Lepisosteus oculatus: one gene and its partner. The protein of the gene in region 1 purifies or fractionates together with the protein of each later gene. This does not show direct contact. Links are inferred from orthologs where the notes say so. Each region holds a gene or a part of one and is shown in the gene's direction. Other genes may lie near its edges.

Region 1 (15,940 bases):
TCAAGTCTATGAAGACAAATGAATAGAATTATATAGGTTTACTGGTCAGAAGGAACAGTAGGTGAAAATGCAGTACAAAAGTATCTACTACTATAGTTAGAGTGTATTTTTATAAACCCATCATCTTCAATACCTGACTGTAAGATCTGGATATGTCATCCTAATCTCTTTCATCTGTTTTGTTTAATTTCATCAACAGCGCAAAAAACTAATCCGTTACTCTCTCGCTGAAAAGTGTGCACCTTTCAGCGAAAGCACCTTTCTGTGAAACAAGAAGCAGAAATTACAATGAACTCTGGGAATTGTAGTTCACCCACAACCCTTGTGTACCTAAAAACAGGGGAAGGGGGATGAGAGAAATACAATTCCAATAGGTAGTTTTCCAGACCCTGTAGCACTAATTCAAGACTTGCTTCTCTATAATTAACATTAGGTAGCCCAGGATTAGGGTAATCAGGGTCTGTGAAACTCATGGTCAGTGGTCTTTCTGTCTGACCCATAGTTATTCATCCCTTAGCTGTGTTTTGTTTTCCAATTTTTGCATCTTTTTAGTGACCAGAAATCATTTGAACGGATTTTTAGGAGTCACACAAGGAAGAGAGTGAGAGCAGTATGTCTGGCATGCAGTCACAGGGGTTTTGGCAAACGTGTCATATGTGTGTCACATGGTGATCAAGAGCACACATAGTAGGCTTTGGCAGTTACTATATTCCTTTTTGTATTAGGGATTTTTTACTCTTTTTCAAGTTTAAATTATTTCTGTAAAAGAAAATGCTATGCTGTAGTTTCCAATAAACAGTAATGTAGTTAGGGCTTGGCCCAAGTGTATTTAATCTAAGCTATTTTAGCTAGTTATTCTGAAATATATTGGTCAAGCAGAAAGTGTTGCTCAGTACTGTTACTTTTAATACCTTGGACCCAACTGCTTAGAGTTGGGGTCAGTTCTAGTCTTTCTATTCTCATACAGTTTTAAAAAAACATCCTTGCTTTTGCTCGCTTTTAATGTGAAAATACAGCTTTGTGAGACATTTTTAAACAGTTTTATTTTACTTTGAACTAATGTCAATATTTTTACAAACAAAATAAATTACCTTTCCTCTCAAGGAAAATTTCCTGATTCGTCCGGCATTCTTTATGTAATTTTTTTAGAAGAATAAATCTGCACTTGTTTTAATAACCGTTAAAATAACATGCAATAATGAAACAAAAGTCTAATCCAGAGTTGAGAACAAAGACATAAACATTTTGTATGAAGCAGCATTTCGTGTGGGCTGACTCTGCAAAGTGAAAAAGTGACATCAGAAAGTTGATCAAATTACGAGCTCCAGACTTTGGCATTTAATACATTGCTGGCTCTTACCTCTGAAAATGAATCCTTTTTCCTGTGCAGATCCTCTCCAGGATGCACCGAGAACAGGGATATGATCCAGACTGGACTTTTTTATTCCGATTACTCTGTCCAGATGTAATGCCATACTCCAGCCACAATTCCAGATTGATAATAAAGCGTTAATTTAAACTGAAACACTTTTTGTTATGGCTACTAAGCAGTGGAGTTAACGTGGTATGTGTGTACTTACTGTATTCATCCGAAAGCATTCTCCTTTTCTCACAAGAATAACGTTCTTGCTGGGGTTTTAACTGAATGTACTAACTCTGTAGTCATTGAAAACTTCCTTCAGCACGTATGTGTACAATACTATTATCAGATCTTACCAAGCTTAAAGGCATGGCTGTTGCATTGGCACGTTTTTAACAGGTCCACGTGGTTTAGTGCAGAATCCCTGAACCTAGGGCTTAAAGATTTTAATATTTATGATCGAGTTTGTCAGTGGTGCACAGAACAGGACAGTGGGACAGTAAAAAGGTGTCCTGAATTTCATGGGTGTGCCTCCTTCTGGCCAGTATAATCCTTTCTCTCTAAACTTCACAGTCCTGGGCTGAGGCTTGAGATCAGAGCTCTGATCAGCCCCACTTTCTTTCGCTTCCCTGCTATAGTTTGCCCTGTAGTTTCCCCACATTCACCCCTGTCATCTTCGCCTGCCTTAAAACCGGTGAACGTGGCTTTGAAAATGATGAACGCATGTAAACTAAATCAATATCCTGTGAGGAGGCCGACCAGGCTGAATCACTGTTAACATTGGCTACTACCGTTTCTTCCAAGAATAACAGCAGACTCACTGTTGGCGTTGGGATGTAGTCGCAGCACCACAGCCTACTGGGTTCATAACCTGGAACACACATTGTCGTCCTGCCTTTTGCAAAACTAAGTGAAGGGAGCCAGGGTCACAAGTTTGTGTTTCTGGCGTGCTTTGGGGGGAAGGCATAGTTAAAGCCCTGTGGTTGACTGCCATTTACTGAATCAAAGGGTCGACGTTACAGACCTTCAGAGTGGCAGCTCTTTTTCGTAGGAAAATGTGAAGGAACGTGAGGCCCTGATTGCCCCCACGTTTTCTAGCTGCTGTCGGAAAAGGCCCGCTTTGTCACATCGGCCCCACGTTCAGCAGAACCAATTAAGACCACACTGTGCGGCGTCAAGTCAGGCATTCTGAGCAAACGCAAGCTACCGAGCACGTGTTTGGTGCACGTGTGAAAACCCGGCCGGATAAGCGTGAAAGCCGAAATCTGTGTATTCCTCCAAGACCAGTCGTTCAGTTCATCAGTTTTGAGATGCGCACGTAATGCTTAATACTCTTTCCTTTTCTCTTTGGAATCTGGTGGATTGCGATTTTTTTTATTTAAAGCACAAAAACCCCAAATGGTGGGTCTTTAAATTGTTGAACAAGCGGAAGGAATGTGTGGTTAGTTAGGGAGGGTTTTTTTTTTAGTAAAGAGAATTCCACCCAGATCTCGGCACAAAATACACAGCTGTTTGGGTCCATGTAGCAATACCTTAGGGTGCAGCTTGCCTGCATGGCCTGTGCTATCCACCACGTTACTGGGATTGTGACCAGAGCATGTGCACTCTCCCTCCTCGGTCTGTGACTTGAGCTCTTCAGAGGAGCACCTGCAAACACATGTCTTGTGCTTCAGCAGCACCGGAATAAATAAAAAAGAGTTTGTTTTTGAATGAAAGATGTGTATTACTTTTTAATGTTCATACATGGAAAAAAAATAAAGAGATTATTTTTGGACAGTATTCTTACCAGAGCTTAGAGAAGCAAAATATTTTAAAGAAAAAAAAAGTTGTATAAAGATTTTGTAACTGTTATTATATATGAAATGGAAAAGTTATTTTGATTTTTTTAAAAGAAAATAAATATCAGAGAGGTAAGATTGTTTGAGTGTAATTTTATGTTTTTATGTGGTGTGTTTATAAAATGTGTTTGTATTCTTGATGTTTTGGGAAAGAGCTAGTTTTCCCTGTGTACAAAATCCTTCCTTCTGCTGTTATATTCCACAGATTACATTTAATTATTTTTGCATTAGGGTTGAGAAAAATTCATCATTCTAAACTATTAGACGAATTATTTGCGGTTAGTTTAAATGTGATCCAAGTCAACATGCTACTAAGTAAGTTGTCAGTTGTCCGAACACAATATTAAAATGTTAAGTAATCATAGGGAAAATGATATTGCTAATGAAAGACTAATAGAACTCATATGTCATAAAAGATGTTGAGAAAACATATTTAAATCCATCTTCACATTTTATATTCAGGAAATCTAGGGTGTGTGCAAAGGTCTTGGCAATAAAAGGGGATCTATCTCAGGTTTAAGTCCAGAGCTAAATGTATAACAAATATTTAGAAAATACAATGCAAATTAGGTTCTACTTTCGGAAGAAGCTTTTTAAGTTGTGATCCATGTCGAATACAGCTGGAATTAAAGGTTTATGGTGGTGGCTTGTAATCTTTACAGCCAACATACACCTTCTCCTCTTTAAACACTAGCATCTCAAAGCCACATGTAAAGATAAGATAAGATCACTTTATTGGCCATATACAAGTTCTTGTATTAGGAATTTTGCATACCCCAGCTTGCTCTCCATGAGACACACAGACAGGGAGAGAAGCTGGGGGTCAGAGCGCAGGGTCAGACATTTTATACGGCGCCCCTGGAGCAGTTGGGGTTAAGGGTCTTGCTCGGGGGCCCAACGGAGTAGGATTCCTCTGTCGGCCGCAAGATTAGAACCGGCAACCTTCCAGCCACAGGCGCAGATCCTGAGCCACAGAGCCAGCGCACCGCAAGTGACAAGTGACAATCATTCAGATCCCCCCCATCCTAACTTGGAACAAGAGACTTGTCCTCTAATTCAAAGATTTGAACTCAAATCCCAGATATTACCATTGAGAAGACTTTGAAATCAACAAACATGTCTTGATGGCTGCAGAGTAAATCCATTCCAGGCATTCCCAATCCCAATCCCGATCCTGGTACCTACACATCTGCTGGTTTTTGTTGCATGTCAACACCCCATTAAATAATCTTAAAATCTTTAATTTGGACTCCGTCAGTCCCTCAACATGCAGGAGGTTACCTTTTAACCAACGCATTTCTTAAACAACTTAAAATCTCCAATCGTTGAGCAGAAAAGGAAATTACAAAGTGCCCATCCAAGCAAATTGTTTGTTCAATTAAGAATTAAGTACAGAGCTCAGCTGCAATGAAAACCAGCAGATGTGTGAGTTCCCAGGACCAGGACTACAAGAAAAGAAAGCTTTAAAGAGATTGCCTTAACACGTACAGCTTCTACAAAAGGAAGCACCTGCTGAATGGTACTTGGTACTAGAGGTCATGCAGCATTTAAATGACTCCACAACACTAGGGACATGCACTGCTTCATACAGTCAAAACTGGGAACAGCCATATCACCCAGCTCACAACTGGCAGCCCACTGAAGCTCAGCAGGTGTGAGCCTGGTCACTACCTGGATGGGAGACTTGTGGGAAAAACTAAGGCTACTGCTGGAAGAGATATTAGTGGGGCCAATAGGGGCCACTCACCTGCAGTGAAACTGTGCTGTGAGAAGGCGCCATCTTTTGCATGAGACGAAAGATCCTGACTCTCTCTGGCCATTAAAAATCCCAAGGTGTTTCTCGAAAAGAGTAGGGGTGTTACCCCGTTGTCCTGGCCAAATTTCCCAATGGCGTTTACCAATCATGGCCTCCTAATAATCCCCATCTTCATCACTCTCTTCACCTCCTGAGAGCTTGTGTGTGGTGAGTGTACTGGTGCACTCTGGCTGCTACTGCATCATCCAGCTGGTGGTGGAGGAGGAGAGTCCCCATTACCTGTAAAGCTCTATATAAGTGTGAGGAATTATTATTACTACATGTACTGCTTAAATATGTGGCCTTATGAAGATAGCGTGTTACATGATTCATACAGTACAAGACACAAATTGCAACAAATACAGCAATGTTAACCTGTGCAAAGAGTACTGAATTTTGACCTCTATAGTCTAAAAATGACAATCAGAAATTTCACATATTGACTTTATTTGTTTATTAAAAATGTATAGCAGGCTCAGATGAATCTGAAGTTTCAATGGTTCTGCTGAGAATATGGTTGACCACAAGTATAATGATTGGAAGTCATGAATAAAAGCTGGGTTAGGTAACATTCCTTTAGTTTTGAGTCAATAAAAAATGAAAACCGACTACTTTATTTAAAAATTATGCATATTTACATAAAATGAAAAAACGTATCCCCAACACACTGTTTTTCTTACTTTTTACAACTGAAATGAGAAAAAAAACACATTGCTGCAATCTAATTACAATTGCCTTACTTGCCTACTTTCGTTAAGGATTTCCAATAACAGTTTTACATCATAAGACTAACTTCTGCATTCTAAAACCCAGAAGATTAACAATTAAATACCATCTGTGGAAAAACAATCGGGTTTACAGTTTCCATCCAGAAACTTCACACTGCATTTGTTCTGCCGAGTGTGGGGGGAGAAAAAAAAAGAAACACAGTTGCACAGATAAAACATTTCAAAGCTGAAGCTTTGGAAACGACATATTGAGAAGGCAGTGTTATCGGTTGGTGGGAATAATAAAGGGATTCATGTCATATCCCGAATAACCCATTCACTTTACAGCTGGGAAGGAAGGAAGGGATTGAGGTCCTTTTACAACCTTAAGCCACCAGACCTTTATTTACAAGCACGACACCCCTATAGGAGGGCAGCTGGCACCGTCCAATACAACATTTTAACCGCTTGTCGGACTGGGATGTAAAATCGGCACAGCACATGTATCGAGATGTTTCTCTTTTTCTTACGTTTCATTCCCTCCCCCCCCCCCTTCACGTCCATGAGCAGTTTCCATTTTCACATGGCCAGGAGAACACCCAGAGGCTCAGTGGTGTGATGGCTCCAGCTTCCGAAGCCGCAGGGGGTTGGAGGGCAGGGCCTGCTGGCTGGGAAGCGAGGCGTTCTGCTCCGGGGAGCGGAAGAGCACTCTGCCACGATGGTTGAAGAGATAGAAGGAGGGATGGTTCCGCAACGTGTCGAATGTCCTGGGAAAGCAGGCAAGAACAGGGAGATTAATACTGGCTCCTAGGGGCACAGTGGATACAATGAAATACAGCACAATACTGTATTTCAGTGTTTGTATTCATAATTAAGATTAAAAGTGAATTGTGTGCATTCAAACCAGCCTGTATACCTAGCTTGTAGCATAAAAGGGAGCTGACATCAGCAATCATTCTGTGCAGATCAGAATGTTAAACAATAAATGTATCCGTGACTATCCCTTGATTTCAGGCTTCTGCTATGAATATGGCACTGAACAACAGCAATGTGCTTTTTTTCATTTTACATTTTACTGACATAAGCGACTCACAGGCCCCAGGAACCCTTTTAGATTTAGGACTTGTCATTTACATGAATCATATATGTAATCAATACGGTTTCAGAGTTTGTGACGTAAAATAGGTGGAGTTGGGCTAGAGGGGCTGGCTTAGCAGTGCAGTGCATGTAAATTCTATCATCTAGGCCCTTCCTGATGGCGAACAAAACCTACTTGTTCTTGAGCTCCGATGTGGCGTCCATGTCTTTAAACTCCCCAGCAATGTGCACAATGCCATAACAGGTCACTACGAAGGCCAGCAACGTTTGAAGAACTATCTGTAAATGCAGAGGAAACAAAGAACAAGCCTGAGAATGGTTTACATCAGACGATGTAATTGTGTACACAATCCGCAATGCCGGCACGGCGTGTGAGCACATCACACACTTACGTCACCAGGGAGAGTTTCATTCTCCTTCTCCGTCAGTCGCATGTAAGATCGATCTGGAAAACAACGCACATTGAACAATCACAGCCCCAGTGCGCTAACTCTTTGCACAGTGAAATAGGGTGCTGGTACGCGCCTCGGGATACGTTTTGCATCACTTGAGGATCAGAGGTATTGATTACTTTCATTAAGCAAATTTACAGCAGTATCTAGCCAACTATTAACACTAATAGGATATTTCACTATCCCACTGGGCACATCTGATTTCCATGAAACTAAGCAGTTTCAACAAACCGGTTTTGTGCCTTACATCTGCGTATACACACTTTGGTGCTTCTAACTGGTGATGTTATGCATTGGATGAGCTACTCTGCCTTGACTTTTTTACAATAAAAATAAATGACTATTTTGGAAAATTACTCTCGGCACCACGCCACCCAACCAGTGTCGGGCTGTTACTATTATCGATATTCTCTACTGCCAACAGCGATTTGAAGTAACAAAATACAACAGTTTCAAATTCACATTTCTTTACATTAATGTCAACACCAATAGAAGCAGCGCAACGGCTGCGCTGAATATAATTACCGGTAAATACCACATTTACATGATTTCATATTCTAGCAGTAAATAAAAAGCTTTTAAAATCATCACGAGTCCCAGCACACCAAAGTGAAGATGTTAAACTTCAAAATTCAGATGTTTTCCATAAAATATGTTGAGGTACCCTGTAATGTTTGGTGTCATCTAATTTAAAAGGAGAAGGGAGAGCGCTATTCGACGCAGATGGGGCCTGTCTCTCTTTGCTGTTAAATGATGTCCAAAATTAAAAAAAAAAAACAAAGCACTGCCGCAAGAGACCCTCAACATAAACACGTCAGTGAGCTTTTCTAATATGATGTAACTTACGCTGAGCCGCCGAGAAAGCTGCATGCGCTAAAGCGAAAAGTCCGATTCCGACAAGACCTTTCCAAACAGACGAAGCCATCTTCATCCAGGGAGTAACAGGGAGAGAGCTGTCAATGTAGCGCGATAAAATGTCGTAGGCACAGATGGCTGGGCGGAAGTACATGGCGCGTAATGATGACGTCTCGATAGGCGCTTGGGTCCGGACGAATGAGGCTAAAATTATCCTCTGATTGTATTTGTATTTGTAAATTATTTACAAGTTTAATAAAAAATTCTTTTAAAAAAAAAAGAATGAGGCTAAAATTCAATGTAACTCTGATTTCAAAACGTAATATACAATACGGCTTCTCGTGTAAAATGGAAACATTTAATAAAATATAGTTTAGAAACAGGAATCTCACAAAAATAAATTAGAAGCGTCGGGATAATGACAGCATGTAATTAGTGCGAATATTTGATCTATAATATTTGATTTGCAAACCCAACGGGGAAACCTGACTTTTCACTAGATAATTCCAATTCATCAGATTACGCGACAATCCGGTTATATTATCCAAAATACTATATTTTTAGATCGAACCTGACTACCAATAGGATCTAAAATATTCACAAAACTATTAATGCCCCCAAAGTTTACACAACGTGTTTTTGCATATTCCACAATCACGGTCCCATGTAAAAATAATTCAAAATTCTGTACAGTGACGAATTGCTTTAATGTTTTTGTGTGCTGATTTAAACGAGTTGTTGAACAGTTAATAAACGTTTCGGGTCTTCTTCTTTGTTTACTTTTGGGGGGGGGGGGCATTTTCCTTCGAAAACCAAACGCGTAGACAAATAATAGCACGGTCGTGCTATCTGCGCTAAGGTCTTCATTATTCTAAATCTTGTTGCTTCACACGAGGGTTTTTAGTATCGGGGTCGGGAGACACCTGCAACAAAACATTGTTCTTTTACAATGTGAAATATCTACTAATAACTAGCACAATCTGCCCAAGTCCCTTCTGGTGCGCCTGGCGGCCAACACATCCTTACATACTGTATGGCAGAAGCTTACGATCAACAGTTGTTTTATAATTTTATAATTGTTTTATAATTATAATTACAATGGAAAAAATATTCAATTGGTTCTTATTGAGAGGGGCTTACAGAATAAATGGTCGTCCAGTCTGCGGGGGGAAAAAATGTGGAAATTCTCTTATCCAGTTAGTATGATGAGCACAAGTAATTCTCTCTCACTCTCTCACACACATGAAGTTGCGAGTCTGAGCTCCGCTTTGCAGCGCTGGGTCACATGACGAGCTTCCCCGGGCCAGCTGGGAGGAGTGAGGGAGCCGAGCAGGACCAGCCCCGACCCCGGCAGGCGGCGGAGAGACGACAGCACGCATCAGGGGGCGCCGTCAGCACAGCCATGGGCTTCAAAACTCAGCAGCCGGCGGCCGCGGGGGTCTCCGGACGCCTGGCCCTGTCCGTGATGGCGAGCCTGCTGGTTTCCCTCAGCCTGAGCCGGGCCGAAGACGCCGGCATGGAGAACATTGTCACGGAGAAACAGGCAGAGGAGAGCCACAGGCAGGACAGTGCCAACCTGCTGATTTTCATCATGTTGCTCACCCTCACCATCCTGACCATCTGGCTTTTCAAACACCGCCGGTTCAGGTTCTTGCACGAAACTGGGCTGGCTATGATTTACGGTGAGGATCCTTCCCGAGCGACCGAAACTGCGGTGCCGTGATGTCGGATTTATGGGGAACTAGTGAGAACCCGCGTCTCTGTATTGCTGGTAGTAGCAGTCATGTGCGGTACAACTGTGCCCGCTGTTATGTTGTGCCATTTGTAGCGTGTTTACCGACAGGTCAGGGCCTTCTTGTGTGAGTTTAATGTCTCTGGTCCCTGTACGAATGTTGAGCCTGATAACGTTGTTGCTACAGCTACCACTTACTCCTGTTGTACATTTGTATCTGGGGGCTATGCACTGCCAAAATGCGCTCGTTATTTTTTCAGACGCTAACAACATCAGCGCTGTGATTGAGCACAATACGAAGCCAGAACAGTTAATTATAAACCCCTTGCGTAGAAAAGGGGAATTTTCCAGACGGTTGGATGGATGGGGACTGGAAAACTTGGTATTTTATTTTCTATTTACGCAAAGAACCGCACTGGAAGGTTTTCTTCTCGAGTCAAGACGCGATGTTGGGGGATTAAGCAAGGCTGCTAAATGTTTTAGAATTTCCCTGTAACACGTGACGCTTGAAAATAGCGTCACTGTCCGAGGATAAGGTGAGATATGTTCGTTTTTACGCATTAGGATGCTGCTCAGCGCTCATACCCAGCTACCTTCTCAGTTTTCAAGTTGGGTTTCCCATGACCGCCCAGGTTAATCAATTTACTTCCTAAGCAGAAACCAAGCGAAACGCTTTTTTGTGTATTCACTGAGCTGAATACGTGTTGCAAAACTGTTCTAGAGAAGTATTGTCTTTGCACCATCTCCGTGGAGACACAAAAAAGCAATTACTGAAGATCGCCTTGCCGTGTTCAGTTTCGCAGGAGAGTCTGGTTTAGCCTCATTCCGGGCAGCAGTCTTCACAAACCTCTTCCGTGAAGGAGAACTACTGTCTCGTCCTCCGTGCTGAGCAGCTCAAACACCGGGGAAGTTTTGTTTCCGGCAGCGGGCAGAGGAAGGTGGCAGAATGTGTCGGTCCTATTTTTATATTTAGTGGTATGCGCCTTATTTGCTGAGACGGTATCGGTAGTTGAATTAACACATTAATAACTGGTAATCATATTGCCCTTACAAAATGTTAAGAAGGTGTGGCGAAATGGCATGAACTCCGGTGATTAGCGGGTATTTGCATGGTTTAGCAATGGAGCGCTATCAGAGTACAGGGGTTTTGCTTAAGCAACCATGCCTTGGTGAAATGTCTTTTTGCCTGAACAACTTGTGGTCCCTGTGACACCCTAGGCTGAGATGATAGCACTACAATGATTTGACTTTGTAAGCCCTCATATAAGGCCAGGACTAAAGGTTTAGTCACCCTTAAATTGCTTCATAATCAAGTTTAAAAGCCTGTGGTCATTGCTTTATGACTTACCTTGGCCTTAGCTTCTTAAAAGGCTTCTTCTGCCATACTGCCAGGTATGTCAGGTTCCAGACCTTGGAGAAACCTGGGGTGTTTGAGGGGACCCCAGGACGAGGGCAGGGAGATGGGCGGCACCCTGACTGTGTGTCCGTGTCCGCAGGTCTGCTGGTGGGCGTGGTGCTGAGGTACGGGATTCACGTCCCCAGAGACATCAACAACATGACTCTGAGCTGCCATGTCAACGCCAGCCCGGCCACCCTGCTGGTCAACGTGAGCGGGAAGTTCTACGAGTACACGCTGAAGGGCGAGATCAACGCCAACGAGGTCAGCAACGTGCAGGACAATGAGATGCTCCGAAAGGTAAGGTGGACTGCGCCCCGCCCTGTGACCCCTGACCCTTGACCCGCGGCTGGGGGAAGACAAGCCTGCTCTAACCGGCCACACTTCAGGCTCTCTCACCTGCGCTCGCTTCTCTGGGCCTCTTGTGGCATCATCTGTCCTACCTGAGGTCACGCAGAGCTTGGTCCCCAAGCCCATAGCAAATTAAAGTTGCAAAAGGAAAAGGAAAATGTTTCAGGTCCAAATTTAGCTCGGGTACATACCCTGCATGACTTCTCTTGTGTTCCCCTTGATTTTTTTTTAGACAGTTATTACAAGACACTCCCAGCTGCATCCCCTGTTGTTCTGGCGCTAGTTAGAAAGCACGTCTTCAGAAGTATTCAGAAGTTGCAGGCTATGTGCAGGCCCCTCAGGACACCTGGTGAAACTTTGTATACGTCACTGCGTTTCCATCATGAAGTCACCCAGACGGGCCTTCCTTCTGGAAACTCTGTAAGCACTCTGTGGGGTTGCCTTTGACATCGTGTTAAGGCATGTGGATGAGGATTTTTAAGGAAACTCCATAATTTTCCGTTTTTTTGTTAACGCAGATAAACGTGCGCGGATAAAAACGCACCCTGTTGTCGCAAGACTCATTCGTGCCCTTCGAAGAAATCTCTGTCCCGTCTGCCTGTCGTACAGTTAGCTGTGTACAGTGTCAAGGCTTCAGTTAGCACTGACAAGGCGCAAAGTCCTTGAAGAATTAAATACGTTCCTGCCAACTTTACGTGTGTGACATACACCCGACAGAGGAACTCCAGACCTCTGCACAGAGCATTTAGCAGCAGCAGGTGTTCCAGGTTTAAAGACAATGGGTGTTTGTGTGGACACTTGCATGGGGCTCATTCAGTTCAGTTTATTGCCATATGGACAAGTGCAATTAAATCCTCTTTTTATGTGTTGGCATTTGCAATTGTAGGAGATTTTTGCACACAAGTGTGCTTAGTACATTTCAGAATGTTGCACTAATTGTTAAAGTCTAGTGTATGAAATAATTACGTTGTATTCAGATCTCTTTTGTTTATTTAATATGACTTTTACTTCTAATCTAAATGACATTTGCTAGTTCTGCCATGGAAATTTACACAGTTCCCCTCAGTGCTTCTTCCTAATTCACTCTGACTGTAACAATACCTCGGGGGCACAGGTTGAGTGAGTTATGAAATTCAAATGTTGTAACTCCATTATGCAGTAGTGAATGGCTTGTAGTGTGAATCAAACACACTATGTACACTTACACATCCTGGAACGAGCTGGGTGTATCAGGTTTCCCTGCAGCTGCACTGCTGGTGAGAACCGCAAGACCAAGGCCCGGATTAAACACCAGTTTGATCCAACTCGTGAATTCCACCCACCGGGGTCTGTGGAGGTTTTCCTCTGGGTGGACTCGAGAGAAGCCCCCGGCGAATGAAAGACCACCATGGGGTGATGCGTTTGGAGTTTGACGCTGGCGAGAGGGTGGCGTTGTGGTTTGAGTCGTGGAAACGCAGGCTTACTGTCCTTCTTGCTGCTGCTCGAGCAGAGCTGGGTTCTGCTGGGGCACAGCACGTGGACTTCGGGGCGCCCGGTTTCCCCCCCCCAAACTGGTTTCCAGCTGGGGAAGGTTGTCCTCCTGCCTTGATGGGCATCGGGATCGTGCAACATGCATTCCTGCCAAGTGGCACTTTGCATGACGTTCTAGTTACCTCGTTGTAAGGAACAACAAACAGGCTTTCTTGTGGAAGATAATTTACATATCCGCTTGCTGTCGGCCCACCGGCTTCCGTTGAGGCTTGCTATTTGCATTGGCATTAGAAATCACTTTTACGAGCTGTATTGGGTTGTGCCATACCTGAAAAACATCCTGTATTCCTGGCTGGGTTATATTCAAATCTAGTTCTTGTTTCCACTGAAAAAGCCTACGTTTTGCCTGCCCATGTAAAAAAGGTGCAAAATAATTGAAAAATCTCACGCCCTTGTAAAGGTTAAAGGCCTGTTTGTCGCATCAGTTTGATTTTTCTGTGTGGGTTTTTTTTCTTCCCTACATTGTATATGATACCCGGGAGAGTGGATTCCTGTGTCCTTGTGACTCTTTTTTTTTAACTTCTCTCCAGGTGACCTTTGACCCTGAGGTGTTCTTCAACATTCTGCTGCCACCTATAATCTTTCACGCAGGGTACAGTCTGAAAAGGGTGAGTAGGTTTTGAGTCCGCGCAGAAAAGGGCGAGTCGTATCTTTTGGGGAAAGAATGGGGAAAGTCGTTTCGGTCACAAAATTTGCTTTTGCAGTTCCAGTAGGACTTACAGGGCTTCTTTCAGAGGGGAAGTGAAGGACAGTCCTGCATCACAGAGCAGAGGAGAGCGGGGGCCTTCAGGGATGGAACCCAGCGACTCCGCTGTCATCAAACCAAAAGGAAACGGGAACGAACGAAAAAGCAATTGCCAAAACACGACTAGGAGCTATGCGAGATGAGAGTGATGAGATTTGACCCCCCCCAGAAGTTTGTGATTGTATAACTGGAGTGTCCTGCAGATCATATGAGGCTGAAGCAGTAGTTTCTGCTCGTTGCTGTCGGAGAAGTAAAATTAATTCAACCATTTTATCTTCTGTTTTCTGTTTCAGAGACACTTCTTCAGAAACCTGGGGTCTATCCTGGCTTATGCCTTTATTGGGACTGTCATATCCTGTTTTGTCATAGGGTGAGCAGAGATTGAGTAGGCTGTTATGGCCTCTGAAATGTTAAGGTGATGCCTGCTTGCTTTCAGAGATTTTTTTACTGCATTGCTCAAGACCTAGTGTGTGTGTGTGTGTGTGTGTGTGTGTGTGTGTGTGTGTGTCTTCAATATCTGAACTGTGACATGTTTTCTTCTGCTAGGAGAGTTGGGCAGGTCAGTGAGTTTTAATTCCTTCTCTCTTCGGTCTTTTCCTGTTGCCCGCATTCTTTAACAGGATGATAATGTATGGATGTGTGATGCTCATGAAGAAGGTCGGACAGCTGGGAGGAGACTTCTTCTTCACAGACTGTCTCTTTTTCGGGGCCATCGTCTCTGCCACTGACCCAGGTACCCACTTCGCCCCGGGTGGGTCTCCGCTGTCGTGTTGTTTAACGTCTTTCCTGGGTTTGTGATCATCAGGGCAGTGAAACCTTACAGTATACGAAGGGTTGCAACTGAGAAGAAGCCGTTGGAATCATCGCTCTGGTTTGTTTGCGAGTACAAGCAGCCCGGCACGCGGTTAGTTCTCACACCACCCAGTGCAGGCTCGTACCCGAGTCCTCGTGCTCCTGCGCTCCGTCGGGTCTGTGTCAGGAGGCGTGTCGCTGGGCTGGCGCGCCGCGTGCAGTCAGGCTCCGACTGTTGCTAATGCTTTCAGAGAAGCTCTTGGAGAATGCGTTGTTGTGTGTGTGTTACGGCTCTGCCCGACAAACTGCAAACAAGAGGTGGGGGCGTGCAGATCTCCGGTACTGGGAAGAGCGTCGGCGTGATCCGTGGCGGCCAATCGCAGGTCTCTGACGTGGCGGGGTCTGGCGCTGGCAGCAGGGCTTGACCAAGTGTTTCTCTCCCCTCTCCTTCCGGCTGCCCCCCCCTCCACAGTGACCGTGCTGGCCATCTTCCACGAGCTGCAGGTGGACGTGGATCTGTACGCGCTGCTCTTCGGCGAGAGCGTCCTCAACGACGCCGTGGCCATCGTCCTCTCCTCGTGAGTCCGGCGCCCGGGCGGCTGTCTTGTCTGTGCGGCTGGGTACCTGAGGCAGGAGGGGCAGGGGTTGCAAATCGCATCTTCTGTGCCAGCCTTAAGGTTGGGAGCTGCTCCGGGGCACTGCCCTGAAGAGCTGGTAACGGAAGCGGCCTGCCCACCTGATGTTGATAACAGAGTGGGCTAAAGGCTGCTGATGAGTGTGCTTGTGCTGTGGGTCTAAAGAATAACTAACCCCTGACCTGACCGTTGTTTGCTTGCAGAATTCTTATTTATTACGGGAAACGCAGGGCCCGCGAGGGGCTGGGGAAGCAGGCCGCAGCCTCGGCGCTGGAGTGGGGTCAAGGCGTGTCGAACGCACGGGGGATGTCTCCCAATGGGTGCTGCTTCAGAGCAGAGCAGAGGCCACGTAACCCTGGAGTGCCAGGACAACACGGGGAGCAAATTACCAGTGAGCCGTGCTTTGTGCGGCCACAGCTCTGATGGAGTCAGTCGCGACGGCCCCGGGTTCTCGCGAGATCTGGAAATAGGAAGCGCTATAAAAGTTACTCATCCTTCTTGCTAGACCTTGGAAGGAAAAAATGTCCCGGAACAGTCCTAGAAAACGGGGGGGGACTATCGCCTGAATAACTGAGATACACCCCAGGTTTCTGTGTACCGAGATGGGTGGTGAAAGCTGCTCATATTTACACCGATGAGCTAAATCTGCAGTCC
Region 2 (14,940 bases), on another chromosome or scaffold:
CATCTTTCTTCTCCAGGTCCTGCACCAATGATAGTTCTCTTGAGTAATCACCCTACAGAGCTGCGATCAAGAAGTAAATCTCTCTGGGGTGGTGTGCGATAGATACACTTACCTCTAACTTACTCAAAATTTCTTCTTTTCCTGCACTTGTTTTTGGCTTAGATTTCTTGTTAGCCTCTGGGAATACCAAATAAATATTAGTTTCTGCATAAGATACTTAAAATTTAAGCGCTGGACATCCCAATAAAATCCCTTTATATACTTGAGGAATTGAAAAGGCACCACCATGATACCAAGAGGGTGAACTCATACAGATGATTATGTTTTTCATTTTTGTTCCCTCCAAGCAATGTTAATACTACACTGCTATGATCCTGGCCCATGTGGTGTTTTATCGTGATTGTTTCTTAACGAATGCCGTGAAAGGGTGTGTTCTGTGTGGTTCACCTCACTGGGATCCCATTGCCATTATTATCAGACGTCCACAGTGAACAGGCTAGACTGGCCGAACTCTCCTGGCGACTCGGGAGCCAGAGAGTTTGTGGTGGGGAAGGAGGACATCGAGGCACTATACAGTACATTCAGTTAGAGGACTGAAGCTCTGTTCCTGGACTTCTGGTTTATATTCCAGATGAGCTAGAACCAACTTAATTGGACCCAATTATTTCCTTCAATTAGTAGAAATTGCAACATCTTTTCCAGGTCTCTCCTCACTGACTACTTGATGTTCCTATAAGATTTGCAGGTCCAGGGATGCAGAGCTCTAAACTGATGGATCCCATTGACCACAAGCTAGGACTACAATTTTAACAGGGTGTGTTTTATGCCTTCTGTTGCCAGTTTAGCACAAGTATAAGAGTGAAACCAAGGCGTGGACCAAACAAGACAGGGATCTGTGTCTTATATCACAAAATAGGCGAAGACTGTACGGACACATCTGCCATTTGTTATGCATTTCACAGAACTGTAACAGAGAGCCTGTGAGCTGTCAAGACTCCTTTGTGCCGTAACGCGGTATACCAAACAGTGTCGTAACCTTGAACTAACACTGTGTGCCGACATGACACTGACTGCACTGCCTTTTCAGAAACTTGAGCTGGATGGTTGAAAAGCAGCTGACGGTTTCACGTGTGGGGTGAGGAAAAAAAGCAAAACTAACTTCCTGTCCTAAATTTAGCTTTTCAAAAAATAATAGTCGTTCCCAGCTCCCTCTTTACTTACTGGGTTTTGTTTGCTTCTTCCTCTGTGGCATTAGTTCTTTCGGAAGGCGTCGCCAGTCTGCAAATTCAAACCAGCAAGACTCTTCAGTAACCTAAAACCGCATGCAGGAGGTTCATGTTTTTCTGCTAGTCCTCCTAATGGACCACTCCAGTGGCTTTTTTCCTTCAGGATTTGTTCTGGCTTGTAAAATAGCAAAAAAATAAATAAAAGGAAAATAAATGCAGAAAAGGTGGAAGGTGTTGCAGTAAAGGGCTGTAAATAACAGCTAATGGAAGAGGTCAATTTAAAAGTCAGAGCAGACATAATCTTCCCTTTTTTGGAACTAAAAATACCATCATAGTAACAGTCTCAAATGCCGCTCAAGAGGAATTAGATTCGTCCCAGGTAATTCCCCAGAATCAACCTCTAAAAACCCCCTTATGTCACCCACATGGGAATCAGCCTCCTGTCACAGCTGAACAAAAACTATGAAACACTCCCTCTTTAAATCTCTTTAAATTGCCCAGAAAGATAATCCAGCTCAGTGCAGAACACCATGACAGGATCAGAGTAGGCTTTAGGAGATTACAGAAATGTAAAACTCTGACCCAAGAGCTGAGCATCAGCTAAACTGCACCAACTTGAAAGTTTAAGAGATTTAAAAGCTCATCAAAAATATTCATTCAACTAAAATGTGCATTTTCTGTAATAACAACAACTCTGTTGCTAAATTGGCTTTGAGATTCAGAGAGACTGATAGACTTAATCAAATGACAGAGCTCCACACAGCAGTCCACTTGTCCACACACATACCTGGTTTCCAGGTGTTGTCCCCTTCTCTGTTTCTTTCCTTTGTGTATTTTTCCACATCTAAACCGAAACAAAACAGTGCTGCATTTCTTGTCGATCTCCTTTTCATGCACTGCAGGAAGTGCTTCAGGTTAAGTGTAATACTTTTCAAAACACATTAGAGAGGGGCCATTGTGATGGTCTTCCTCGCTGTACATTGTATGTCTTTTCCCTTATTTCATTATACTCTGGCCCATTTCCACAAAAGAGGATGGATTAACCTCATTAAGTAAGTGCAGAAAGCATGTTAGCGTCCAATTTAATGTGATTTTTGTTTTGTGAATGGGGAGGGGTATAGTAATTTGAGGCTATAAAAGTAACTGAACATCTGTTCTAAAGGCAAATGTAATAGTACATTCCATTCTTTCCCTATAGTACAGTTATTATAAAGGTCTCAAGTTTTGCACCAGATTCTTATATACCATATTTTTTTTTATTCCAATTGTTAAATCTTCAATCACAAGCATTAGAAACCTGAAGGATGTGAAAAGTGCATTCTGTTCAGTGAAGCTCCTCTCTCTCACCTTTCTTTTCAGCTGGCAAAGGTATGTTGTAAGGCAGGAGTTTCACTGCAGCCCTCATCTCCTGTTTCAGGGCCAGCATATAATCTTGGTCTTCTCCCATTTTCAAGGGCACTGGCTTGAAGTCCACATCCTGTCACCAGCAACGGTTTCAATGGATTTTCCGTCAAGGTCACAACGGGCAAAAAAAATAAATCCGGACCTTGTCACCGGCATCCCCTTCCACAAAACCACATGTGCCAAGAAGAGACACCAATGTTCACTGACGTACTTTTATCTGACTGATGTTTCTGTTGCGCAAGATGGTAATCGGACACTTCACATGCCTGAGGTGGTGCACCACTCTAAACTGCACAGTAAGCTATGCCTACAGCTTTGATGACCTCCCAGCATTATTCAGGAGCAAAGCCGAGGGAAGCAGAAGGATGCCCCAAATTAGCCTTGACATCTTCCAAACATGAGTCCGGAGGGAAGAAGAGTATATTCTCAAATGAACTTAAGTAAAACAGAGCTTGATGGCTTCTGTTGAAACTGTGCAATCATCAGCCCTTCGGCTTGAAGCTGGAGCTGCAGCAGTCTGTTCTACATGCATCCAGTATCCCATGGGGAACATAAAGTCATTTACATTTGAGACTGTGACAAGACCGGTTTGATGGCTGTTAGCGTGGCCTGGGCATGCATGCCACTGGCTCGCTCTTCTTTAGTTTCTCTGTAACTAAACACAGCAGCATTAGAATGAAATCTGGAGTTTTCATAAACATTGCGTAGAAGAAAATGTTTCCATACTGATTGGACAGCGCTTCACCACGCAATATGACGATAACCCACAAGATACAGGTAAGAGGTCAATTCTAATTTGATTTCATTAGCAATATTAGTACCACATGGATCTGAATTAAGACCACTGCACTTCCTCATTTATGTCAATAATAATTACTAATTATTACTAATTAGATGAGAAGGGACCTGAATCAAGTATTCAAAATCCCCTAGGGCACTGACAGAGTCAACTTAATGTGCTTCCTCTGAATCAACAGCGAAACACTAATCTAAGGACACAAGTGGGAAGTGATATTAGATCTGAGAAAAGAACACACCTCTTTACCCAAAGGGTTGTAGGAGTATGGAACACGCTACCCAGCCATGTTGTTGAAATTGATATCCTGGCTTCTATCAAGAAACTGCTGAATGAGATCCTCAAACAATTCACTCCTAGCACCCACAGAGGTTAGATGGCCTAAATGGCCTCTCGTTTGTAATTCCCCCTGTGTTCAGTACTGCACATGTTAAGTGTTGACGGAGAGCAGACACAGTCTTGCCTGGTGGTTTTTGCATGTGTTAGCACAGTTCATGGCCATGATAACCTGCTCCTCTAAGCACATGCTGCTCACCGCTCGAGGTTTTTCGAGAGAAGCGCAGCCCCGGGTTCCAGGACGTGCTACTCACCGGGAACAGGGGCTTCGGCCTGAACGAGGTCTCTGGTAGCGCTTCCCCTCGGGTGAGGCCGAGGGCTTCGATATTGAAAGTTAAGGCGGCCAGACCCCGTCCACGGCCTCTTCCCGCCATCTTCACCCTGCAACAGAGGCGCCGCTTAGCTGGGACGAGTCTCCGCCCGTGAACATACCGGCGTCATGCCCAGTTGCCCAATTTTCCTCTCCCCCCACGGAGTGTCGAACTCTGTCCTTGTACTGGATGAGGAGCACTGAGCACTGAGGGTGGCTCGGCCGCTTCGTTCTGCTTTTCAGCGTGGACGGAAGCTCTCCTGCCTCCCTGGCAGACAACACCACACTGACACAGCCTCCCACTGCAGGCGTTCTGCAGGCCTGCGGTTACGGCAGGGTTTCTGAAAGACAAACTACCCCCTGCAGGGGGGGGTCAGTGCTGGACGGAGAAAAGGTGCGTCTCTGCACGCAGTTCTATCAGCAAACCAGAGGGCCCTGAGAGACAAGCCCACACTGATCACGGCCAACGCAACGCTGCTGCTTAGGAAATTCAAGTTTCAGGCAGCTTATTGCACGACCCAGGCTTGAACCCGTGATCACAGAACCCAGCCTGCGCACGGGCAAGCATCTCAACCAGCTGAGCCCCATGGAAGACCGACGTAAACCCGTCACTCCTGACGGCTATTGGTGTCCCAGTGTGGTCTTGGGTTGTACCCCAACGATTCTGTGTTAGAAGGAAGGCTGTGCAGTTCAACCAAGAATAACCCTTGAAGCTGCAGCCACGAAGCAAATCGCTACAACATGGCTGAATCCAGACAGACCAAGTGTTTCAATCAGTGAAATGTGTACGATGGAGATACACAGCTATAGAATTAGTCCTCAACGATATCCATTTGTAAAAAGACGGTTGAAATGTGAAAGATATGTAGGATCCCTTTCTCAGTAACAGGGAAGTAAGAAAAATGCAGCAGCCAATCAGAAACTTGTAGAACAAGTCAAATTCAGCTGTCATTTTGATTTTCCATTTGACCCACTGCTTTTCTGATAAATGTAAAAAAACGGTGATATGCTTAATGTTATACTGTATGTCTAAACCTTTACTACAATATTATTTGTTATACTTTAATGTTTCACTGCAAAAAGTCTCTAAAGGTGAATGCTGAGGCCCATGGTGATCCTGGAACAGAAACTTCACCACAAGTCCTGACCAACCCGATCATGAAATTTTAACAGACCATGGCCAACAGGCTAACATCTAAGTTTTCATTTCATATAGCAGAGCAAGCCTAAAATATGACCCAAATAAACCACAACCTGTATACCCTTTAATTCCTACTACATTTCATACAGTTATGTTTCACAGTTATGTCTATAAAAAACGTCAAAAAAGTTACTAGCACTTTTAATCTGACTAAACTAAATGCAAAGTAACATTTTAAAGTGGTCCTTCTCTGATCATAAAGCTCACAAATTCACATAACACCATGATTCAGCATATTATAGAGACCACCATGATCTTTAATATAGACACATTTTAGGAATAACCAATTAATATGAGCACTTAAGGAAAACTAGTACCTGCGAAAGCTGTTTCTGCTGAAAATGTGTCCTCTAAGATTAGATCAATGTTTGTTTCACTGTCCAGGCTACGGTATACAGTATGTTTACAACTAATATAAGAGAAATATTGCTCAGATCACTGATATGCCGCAAACTCAGATTGTACAGAGATTGCTACAAGAGGTGTGGTGTGCCTAAATTCCAGTTAGCAGGTGTAAGATCCTTAAACTGTTTATCAGCAGTGACAGACTGCGCTCGTTAATTTAACCAAATTTACGCTTAAAAAAATAGCCTTTCATAATATTCATAACAGCAAAAGCATTTCGTGAAAATTCCAGAAAATCGATCTTCAAAGTGGAGTGGAGGCTGACTTAGAAATCTTCTCATTTAATGAACAATGATTTTTTTTTGTGATATGGGCGTATACAGTACGAATAGTCAAACATGTACGTAACTGTTCAGTTAAATTAAAAGCATTTAATTCAAAATACTATGAAAGCTGACATTAACCGTAATGAGTAAAAACACTGATCTGCGGCGCTACCTACCAAAGTAATTATTGGGATATTTAGTCTTTTCCGCTCGCCAGCAGCGGTTATTCTTCATTCATTTTCAAAGGAGGTCTGAGAAGCCAGTTGCCAGTCAGGCTCAGCACGCCTTCTGAAACAGCGATCGATACCTGCTCCTACAATCCTGGGACATTTCCAGCCCCGTCAGCGAAGTGTAGCGTGGTAGCTCACCGAACACGAGCATGAAAGCGCTACAGTGGAGAACGCGACCCGGCACCACACAAAGATTATAAATGATTTTTTAAATTTAAAATCAAAGTCGGACTTTTTTTTTTCTTTACTTGTGATCACAAAAAACTGGTACGAGGGAGTAGGGTAGGGTAGTGCTCTCGCAGCTGGCGCTGCTGTCTGACAGCTGTTGGTCTGGCGTGGAGTTTGCACCGGGGACCTGACCTCCTCTCACCTTCCGCGGACATGCTGATAGGGTTAATTTGCGTCTCCCAGTTGTCCTCGAGTGTCTGTGTGCGCCGGTGCACGATGGATATACTGTATGGCCACTCGGAGTCCTTTAACTGCCGGGATGGCTCCAGTCTGCCGCGACTTTCCCGGGAGTGAGCCGTTCGTCATCATGAACAAATGCATAATTTACCCGACGCCCTAAACTATACATCTAATTTATTTTTTAAGTGTACGTGCAGAGAGCACTCGTGCTGGAGCATGCAGGTAAGAAAATAAGACGGGTTACAGCCTGGAGGAGGCGACTCGGCCTTTCTGATGACAAGCTCGGTTGCTCGTAAGTAATTGATACAAAGGTCCACCCTTTTCGCGAAGGAAGTCAGGTTGTCGGCTCTGGCAACATGACTGGGCGGCTTATTCCAGACCCCACAGCCCTTTCTGTAAATATTCCCCCCTGTAATTAGATTTAAATCCCCCTCCCATAGACGCACTTAATTTGCACTGGTGTTTTGCTGTTGATTTTGATCAATGGTCCCCGTCTTTGTCAGTGCATCGGGGAATTGTGAATACTGGAATCAAGTTCTCAATACTAGGTGGGTCGAATAGCCTCCTGCTTTGAACGTTTCTCTGTTCAAGATTAAAACGGATCCTTTCGTATAGCCTCTCGGGGCAGGTAAATAAATGTAATACCATGGCAGTGCAGCTACAGTAGCAGAAGCTGGACAAGCAATGCTGGAGTCAGGCAAAGAAATAAAACGGTAGACCTAAATCAGTATACAGAGTGTGAATACCAGGGTGTCACGTAAACGCCCCATAGGTAAGTTGTATTCATAGTAAGGGCAATTAGCACGTTACTTTACCAGTCTGAGGATGAAAAAAGTCAGATTTTGCCAGTGTATTGAAACACATAGCTGAGAGGCCACAGGTGCCTTGTGAAGAGATTCCTTAGTACTGCGTTTCCCTTGCTCGGCAGAATTTAAAGAGATTAACTTTTGTTAATTCGGAGACGGGTGATAAACACTTCTCTGTATGAAAACCTACCCAGATTAGTGAACTAAAACTAACGAATTAGTCATAATTAATACGGTAAAACATTTTTCACCTAGAAATCTACTTGAAACTAAGGGGAAAAAAACACCGGCGTGACATAAACACTTCAGATAATAAACCACGCGTTTAAAGAACGTGAAGAAAATAGCCTTAAAACATTGCGAAACCATACAATGCATCTGCAACATAATTTAATATTGTTTTTAAGCATGGCCCCGTAATAATAATAATAATAATAATAATAATAATAATAATAATAATAATAATAATATTTTTAGCAGGTTCACAATGTGTCGTGGAGCTCAGAAGCCTGTTTTTTCTACGTTATATTCGGTATTCTGGAGCGACCCACCTCCCTTTCAAATACAATCAGCAGCTTTTACAGGGTCTTTGATAGGAAATGAGCGGGTCTTCACTATAACTCAATTTATTAACATTTCATTTTCATTGCCCTCTGACTACAGGACATATATTCTCCTTATCGGTCATATGCCATTATATGCTGTGTATTACTACTACATGTCTTCTGGAAAGAATGATATTATCGGGCTTCTCGTTCACACCGACTAGAAACAAAAGCGCAACTATATTCCCGTCTGTCAGGCGCTTCAGAGGTCCTGAAAGTAGGAAACCTCCGCAAAGCCAACACCGAGGAGGCGGGATCCCGGCTGGTTTTGGTTCAGGGACAGCAGTCCGCACCGAGCAGGAGAGGGCTGCGCCTTTAAGCCGCCGGGTGTGGCCGGAGCGTGTCGGAGGGGCGCAGTCGCAGGTCCGAGCCAATCACGAGCCCCTCGGACCTTGTTTATCCACTCAGCTGCTTTTTCTCCCTGCAGGCTGAGCGCCTGTCGCGGTCTCCTCCTGTTCTGCACAAGCCAACCCTGGTTTGCATTGCGCCTCCTCACCGGACCGGACCGAGTCTGGATTCGGGGCTCCACGTCCCTGACAGCTCGGTGTCTTTATTTTATTACGCGTGGGTGGGAGGCGGGTGTCGGGATGTCTGCGACGGAGTGGTACGCTCACAAGTGCCTGGGCGACGGCGTGTTTTGGATCCAGGAGAGGTTCTACGAGTCGGGCAACAGAGCGAACATCTGGCTGGTCCGCGGGTCGCACCAGGACGTGGTGATCGACGCCGGCCTGGGCCTCAGGAGCCTGCCGGACTACCTGCGCGCCAAGGGGCTGCTGGGCGAGGAGTCCGGCCGGAAGAACCCCCCGCTGGCGATCGGGACCCACGTCCACTTTGACCACTCGGGCGGGCTGCACCAGTTTCGCCAGGTGGGGGTTCACAGAGCCGAGGCCGACGCGCTCGCCACGGGGGATAACTTTGAGATGGTGACCTGGCTGTCGGACGGCGAGATCGCCCGGGCTCCGACACCCGGCTGGCGGGCCAGCGAGTTCAGAGTGCAGGCTGTGCGACCCACTCGCGTACTGCAAGAAGGTGAATATCTCTAGCACATATAGGCATGCACCAGAGCCGCTTGTGCGTGAAAGGGACGGCGACGGTGCGGTGCGTGGTCATATTGCGCGTTATGATAAGGTAAACTAATGCCTTACCGTTCCGGACACCGGTTTTCAACAAGTGGCGAAAAATACCCGTGGCATCTGCTTAATTAACAGCAGAGTTACACAGAGGCCGTCTCGCATTAGCAGGGCTAATCTGTCGCCCTGCTGGAGGTACGTTCAGCGTCTCTCGGCCCGACGGAGTGAGCTTTAAAGACGCCATACGGCGAGGAAGGTGGGGGAGGGCGCAGGCTGCGCTCTCGTTTTTCCGGTGTCGCATCGAGAAGACGAGCTTGAGTATTATCAAAAACTAAACATAGGTTTCCACAGACGTGCGGCGTTATATCTCTAATAAACTATTTCATTAACGTTGTTGCTTGGGGGTATTTTTTGTAAACGGAAAAGATATCCAGAACACAATCTTGCGCTCGGTGTATTTATGCGATCTGTGCCTTTCCGATTGATTTGGACGTTTAGGGCTCATAGCCAATGAAGCAAATAAAAGCATTGGTACCGGGTCGAAGTACTCCTGTACCACACACTGCTATTCTAGACGAGCAATGAGAAAATTGCGTTAAGGAGCGTAATCGGTCCCAAATCCGATGAACTGCATCTCTACAGATTCATCCGCCTCCTTGATTCGTTACAAGAAGGATGACAGACTGCCTGCACTATAGTCACAATCTTCCACCCCCCTGAAGACACCAGAGAGGGAATAATACTGTATCTCCAACTAGCAGCGCTCGGGGGGTTGAAACGGCCTCTTCGCTCTGCTGCTGGTTCCGCGCAACACTGTAGCCCAAAAGTTTGTCAAAGCACGGCGGTGCAGAAAAAAACACGTTCCCAATTAAATATCCTAGACTCTCTGAGAGAACTATATCTCTGGGGTTACGGGGAGATACTACTGGAATAACTGCACGTCTGCCTTTATTATTCCTAACCAGGAGCTGGTTATTGCGCAGTGAACAGGTGATCGCGCCGTGGCAGTGGGGTGTTTTGGGGGGTGTCCCGGCGGGACTGCGCAAGTTCTGTGGCGTCCCTCGTCCGGGCAGACCGGGACAGGCGATGTCGGGCCGCTGTGGATCGATTTCAGCCAGTTCCGGTAACAGAGTAACTGGACCTGGGAGACTCTGGCCTGATATTTTCGCACATGACCTTCACAGCAGCGCTTTTGTTCTGTCCTCTCACTGATACTTCAGTGATCCCACTGTTGGCACAGTACGATTCGGCACAGCTCTTCTCACACCCAGCTGCAGGACACCGACGTTCCTGCTGAAAGAGACAAATCTGCAAGCGCTGATATTTCTGATATATATCAGAAATTATTTCTGGTATATGGGGAGCCTACATGAGTTTATTTCACTTACAACGGGAAACGTACAAAATGACGAGAGTCATTGTCAAAACCAGTACAGTTTGCAATGTGACCATGGGTTTGTATAGAAGTGGCATTTTTATAAAGCTTTTGGGAGATACACGAAAGAATGCACTAACCTTTACACATATTCAGACGTTAGACTTGAGGTCAGTCTCTCATGCCTTGACCATTCTGCCCTTCTATTATAAGCAGAAAACTAGTGAAAGACTTGGACACTTTGAAAATACTCTCAGCAGGGTTCAATCTGAGATGTCTACTACCTTGCAACCCACATACTGTCTTCAGAAATACATTAATTCATTAATTTCACATGCAGTGTTTAAAAATCCTCAAAAACGAAATCAAAGTGGACAAGAAGGCAGTAATTAGGATTTTAAGAAAATGAACTGGAAGTGAAAATTAAGTTTGCATGCAAGTAGCTGGTAAAATAACAACTAGTAAAATGGAAATCCTTTACTGTGGATAGTAAGCTGTTCTTCCTGTACCTTATATTCACAACATGAGAGAGTGTGAATGAGGAAAGTGCCCAGCTGTGATACCGTGACATCAGTATTGCACATCTTCAAAGCAGCAGTTGCTGTAAAAGTCTTTTCTCTTAATGAACTAACACATCTGAAATACGTGACTTGGCTGGGACCCACTCGGAATAGCTTCTCCTGTAGAAAGACAGACAGAGCCTACGGCTGCTCTACTAGATTGTGGAACCTGAGATGTGGAAAAAATATCCCTGCTTTAGATGGAAAGGAAAAGTGACATCATGTTTTATTGACACTAATAGGGAAAACTGAGGGATATTGATTATCCATAGAATAACCATCCGTAGTTCCTAGCCTTAAGCAGCCTCCATTTTCCCTGAGATGACTCAAACTTTCCCAGGGATTTTCTTCCAGCGTGTCCGTGAGAAGTTTCACAGCCCACCAGTAATATTAAAGGGGGACTGTAACATTATTTTCATATTTCGGGGTCAGCATTGATGTACACAGTAACTGGTAAAACCTCCAATTGACATCACAAAATACATGAAATTTCCAGGTATGTGCAGTGCCCTGTCCTGCCATTCACAACGAGGCAACAAAACTTGTGGTGAGATGATGTGGCCCCATTACGTTGTAAATAAGCCGGCTTGTGCATACAGCTCTTTTCATCCGATAGAAATATTGTCTCAACTTCGAGACAGTTTTGCAGACAAATACTGCTTGTTAGCTCTGCATGGGGATCACGCTGGAATAATTCTGCGGTGAAATGTCGGCTGCGCTACCTGTACTTATTCGCTCGTACATCGCATTGCATTGGTCAGGGCAGGAACTAGTGAGCAGGAAGGGCCGGTTCACGTTGCAATTCTTGGGGACTCGAATAAGTTCCCAGGGGTCTGCCACAACACGGCGACTCCGAATGCACGGTTTTGTGCTTACTTTGAAATTTGTGAGTTTTCTTCTGTACTGTCGATTGATTTAGTTTGTTACAGGTAGGTAGGTCCTTTTACAGGCCATAAAGGCCCATTGGGGATAGGGGGGCAAGGGCCACCATTTTTCTTGACCATCCGACACTGGAGGTGATGTGGTCAGCATCACGCTCCGGCTGACCGATTTCCCCCGGAAGGATTAACCCCGGTACTCGCAGGTTGAGCGGAGCTGGGAGCCGTCTGGAAGGAATTAGGGCAAGCTACATCGCTTAACCCTACCTGGGATTGAACCCGGGACCTTCCGGTCAGGAGCTAGACGCCCTTGCCGTCTGCGCTACCACGGCTCCGAGTTGTTCTAGAGGTCTGAGAAAGTGGGACTGCAGTTCTCCTTGAAGAAGGTGCTCTTGCTGTTTCCTCAGGAGACGTCATTAACCTGGGCGACAGGCAGCTGTCGGTGCTGCACATGCCCGGCCACTCCAGAGGCAGCATCTGCCTGCACGACAGGGACCGCAAGATGCTCTTCAGCGGGGACGTGGTGTACGACGGCTCCATGATCGACTGGCTGCCGTACAGCAGGGTCAGCGACTACGTCTCCAGCTGCGAGCGGCTGGTCGAGCTGGCGGACGGGGGCCACGTGGAGCAGGTGCTGCCTGGCCACTTCAACACCTTTGGGGCCGAGCGGCTGTACCGCATCGCCTCCAGCTACATCGCCAGCGCGGGAGGGTGCCACCGGTTTTCCATGTGTGCCCTGAAGTCCGTCGCAAGCCTCGTTCTCCGTGCCTGCAATTCTAGACACGGGTGTTGACTGGGAAAGGCAAACGGCTGCTTTATACGTTTACAGTATTTTGTTTATGCTAACTGTCTCAATTGATGAAATGTGTTCGTAAAATTTAGCCCAGTACTGCAGTTGCACTAATTTTGACTTTGAAATGGTAATTATTGCACTAGTTTTGATTCTTAAATGTGTGCGTGTTGCAAATGCAATGATTTGGGTTTGCACATGGATGAGTGTATAGCTTTAAGCCTCGAGGTACAAAGAAACATACTTGAAGCACGTTTGCATTTTTTTCTGTAGCTTTCCAAAGCATGAAACGAGGAGTGGCGGAGCACATATCATTTGCTGGGAATTTCGTCTTCACGTGAGACATGGAGAAGCAAGTTTTTATTTTGGCTGATGCTGGTTTGCTGTTGTGGAAGATGGAATGATCTCACTGATGCGTCCATCATCTGGTCTCCGTGGCCGCTGTGTGTCCAGAGCTCCGTGACGCTGGACAGGACCCTGGTGTGCCTCTGGGCTCATGTTCATACACATGGGGCAGTTTAGAGATGATAATTTACCTGGGCAGCATGTTTACTGGGGTGGAGAGGAAAGTGTTCAGAGAACACGACAACAGGCCCCACAGGTGGACTGTTCACTCACACAAAGCCAGATTTGAACCCAGATCCTTGGAGCTGTGAAGTGAGGGCACAGTCCACTGCTCCAGCATGCTGCCACTCATACCACAGTATCATAAGCAAAGACAAGGACTTTTTTAAAGCACTTGTAGGCTTTTGACTGGCTTAGTGGCAATTCAGGGTGGTTTACCAACCCAATTTTATTCAGTTAAGAATGATTCTTTCAGATTCTTTCTGTTTTGTATCTCTGTGCAATCTTGATGCTGAGTTTCAAATTTTGAGTGTTTAACTTCAACTTAACTTGTGTTTCCCTGGATGACGCGAGAAGGCAGGTGGTCATAATTGCTAGAAAACCTGTCCTGTGCTGTGATGGGGGTAAACTTGGACACTTGGACACCTGACCCCTGAGCTTACTTTTGCCCTTTTTCCACTTAAAGTAGAGCTTCACCCCTCTTGTTTTTGAATGTAGGTTAGTTAAAGGGAATTTTTAGTTCTTCTCATAAGAAGGCACTGATTTTTAGTAGATGACTTTAAAACATTAAAACAGTATTTCTAACCATTCCAAAGAATCCCACAGTACTTTACTAATGAGAGAATTGACTTAAGGAGGACATGTTGTGTAAACGCAGCGTGGAGTTTAGGAAGGACTCCTTCTCTCAAGCAGAGCTATGGGATCTGTAGTGACTGTGTAGTCTGAACGTCAGTTTAATTGTTTAATTCAAACACCATCTCCTATAGCACGGTGTCCCCGCAAACTGAGGAACCGGTTTGAGAATTCAGGTCCAGAGGAATCGGCACCACCTACTGGTCTTCTAACATCTCTTAGAGCAGCTGTTTTTCTTTTAGAGGGCATGCCCATACTGACCTGGCCCAGGCTCACTTAGCTTCTGAGATGTGTCAAGAACACTGTCACACACTTAATTATACAGCAGAGGACAGTTTGAGCATTGCAATATTTGTTTTTTCAGATCTGGAATTCAGTAACATGCAAAGATCATGCATGTTTGTGAGCATTAGTTGCAAAATCACATTTATTCTTACTGGCCACCTTGTTTTTGTGCTGACACTTCTCTCAACAATCGTCTGAATTTAACTTTCTGAGTCACCATCTTTGTGTTACGAAAATACCTTTCTTGAGCTTTGACCAAAGCCAGTTTTTATGCGGACTTCTAAATATACTTACATGCATTGTGGCCAGTTGAGAGGTTCAGCTGGTAAAGGCTCTTGCCCTAGGGCAGGTGCTGCTCTTTGAACACGGGTTCAAGCCCGACAGAGTTTTGGCACACTACTGGCTCTGCTGAGCACCACCAAGGGGAGGGTGGGGCTACTTGGCCAGGGCACTTTTGGCTCTTGGCGACCTATGTGGCCTTCTGGGTTCGTACAGACATGCAGTCCTGTAGGCGACCTCCAATCAACACTGATTCTCCAGTAGGCAGTAGTGTCGTATGTGACATCATATAAAGCTGGATGGAGGGTGGGGTGGGGGAGTCCGCCTAATTTTCCTCACTCTCCCCCGTGTGTGGTGGTGGGGTTCGTTATTGTGGACAGACGCACCATAAACCCACAGTGGGCTTTTCCAAATGCATCACAAAAATAATCTGAGATTCTAAATGGAAAAAAAAAGAGATTTTAAAGTAATGCAAATCTGTTGTTTTGTCCAGTCTATTTTGGGGTATTATTT

The links.
Region 2: the proteins of slc9a6a (region 1) and mblac2 purify together in Homo sapiens (co-immunoprecipitation; 3 studies listed by BioGRID and IntAct, counting the BioPlex papers as one, with this or other methods). This does not show direct contact. The link is inferred for Lepisosteus oculatus from reciprocal best matches to the Homo sapiens genes SLC9A6 and MBLAC2.

What each region holds. Positions count from the first base shown.
Region 1 is NC_090703.1:48,905,197-48,921,136, forward strand, and holds the start of slc9a6a (sodium/hydrogen exchanger 6a), read left to right. Parts: upstream 1-9,341; 5' UTR 9,342-9,390; coding exon 9,391-9,787; intron 9,788-11,333; coding exon 11,334-11,533; intron 11,534-13,644; coding exon 13,645-13,722; intron 13,723-14,152; coding exon 14,153-14,229; intron 14,230-14,479; coding exon 14,480-14,592; intron 14,593-15,123; coding exon 15,124-15,229; intron 15,230-15,940. Other genes in the region: mmgt1 (ER membrane protein complex subunit 5), read right to left, coding at 6,308-6,467, 6,974-7,077, 7,191-7,243, 8,097-8,259. UniProt on the Homo sapiens protein: Endosomal Na(+), K(+)/H(+) antiporter. Mediates the electroneutral exchange of endosomal luminal H(+) for a cytosolic Na(+) or K(+).
Region 2 is NC_090698.1:72,665,061-72,680,000, reverse strand, and holds mblac2 (acyl-coenzyme A thioesterase MBLAC2), read left to right. Parts: upstream 1-8,220; 5' UTR 8,221-8,580; coding exon 8,581-9,022; intron 9,023-9,138; exon of another isoform or gene 9,139-9,861; intron 9,862-12,283; coding exon 12,284-12,669; 3' UTR 12,670-12,780; downstream 12,781-14,940. Other genes in the region: polr3g (DNA-directed RNA polymerase III subunit RPC7), read right to left, coding at 1-19, 113-177, 1,222-1,278, 2,014-2,070, 2,574-2,703, 4,017-4,136. UniProt on the Homo sapiens protein: Acyl-CoA thioesterases are a group of enzymes that catalyze the hydrolysis of acyl-CoAs to the free fatty acid and coenzyme A (CoASH), providing the potential to regulate intracellular levels of acyl-CoAs, free fatty acids and CoASH.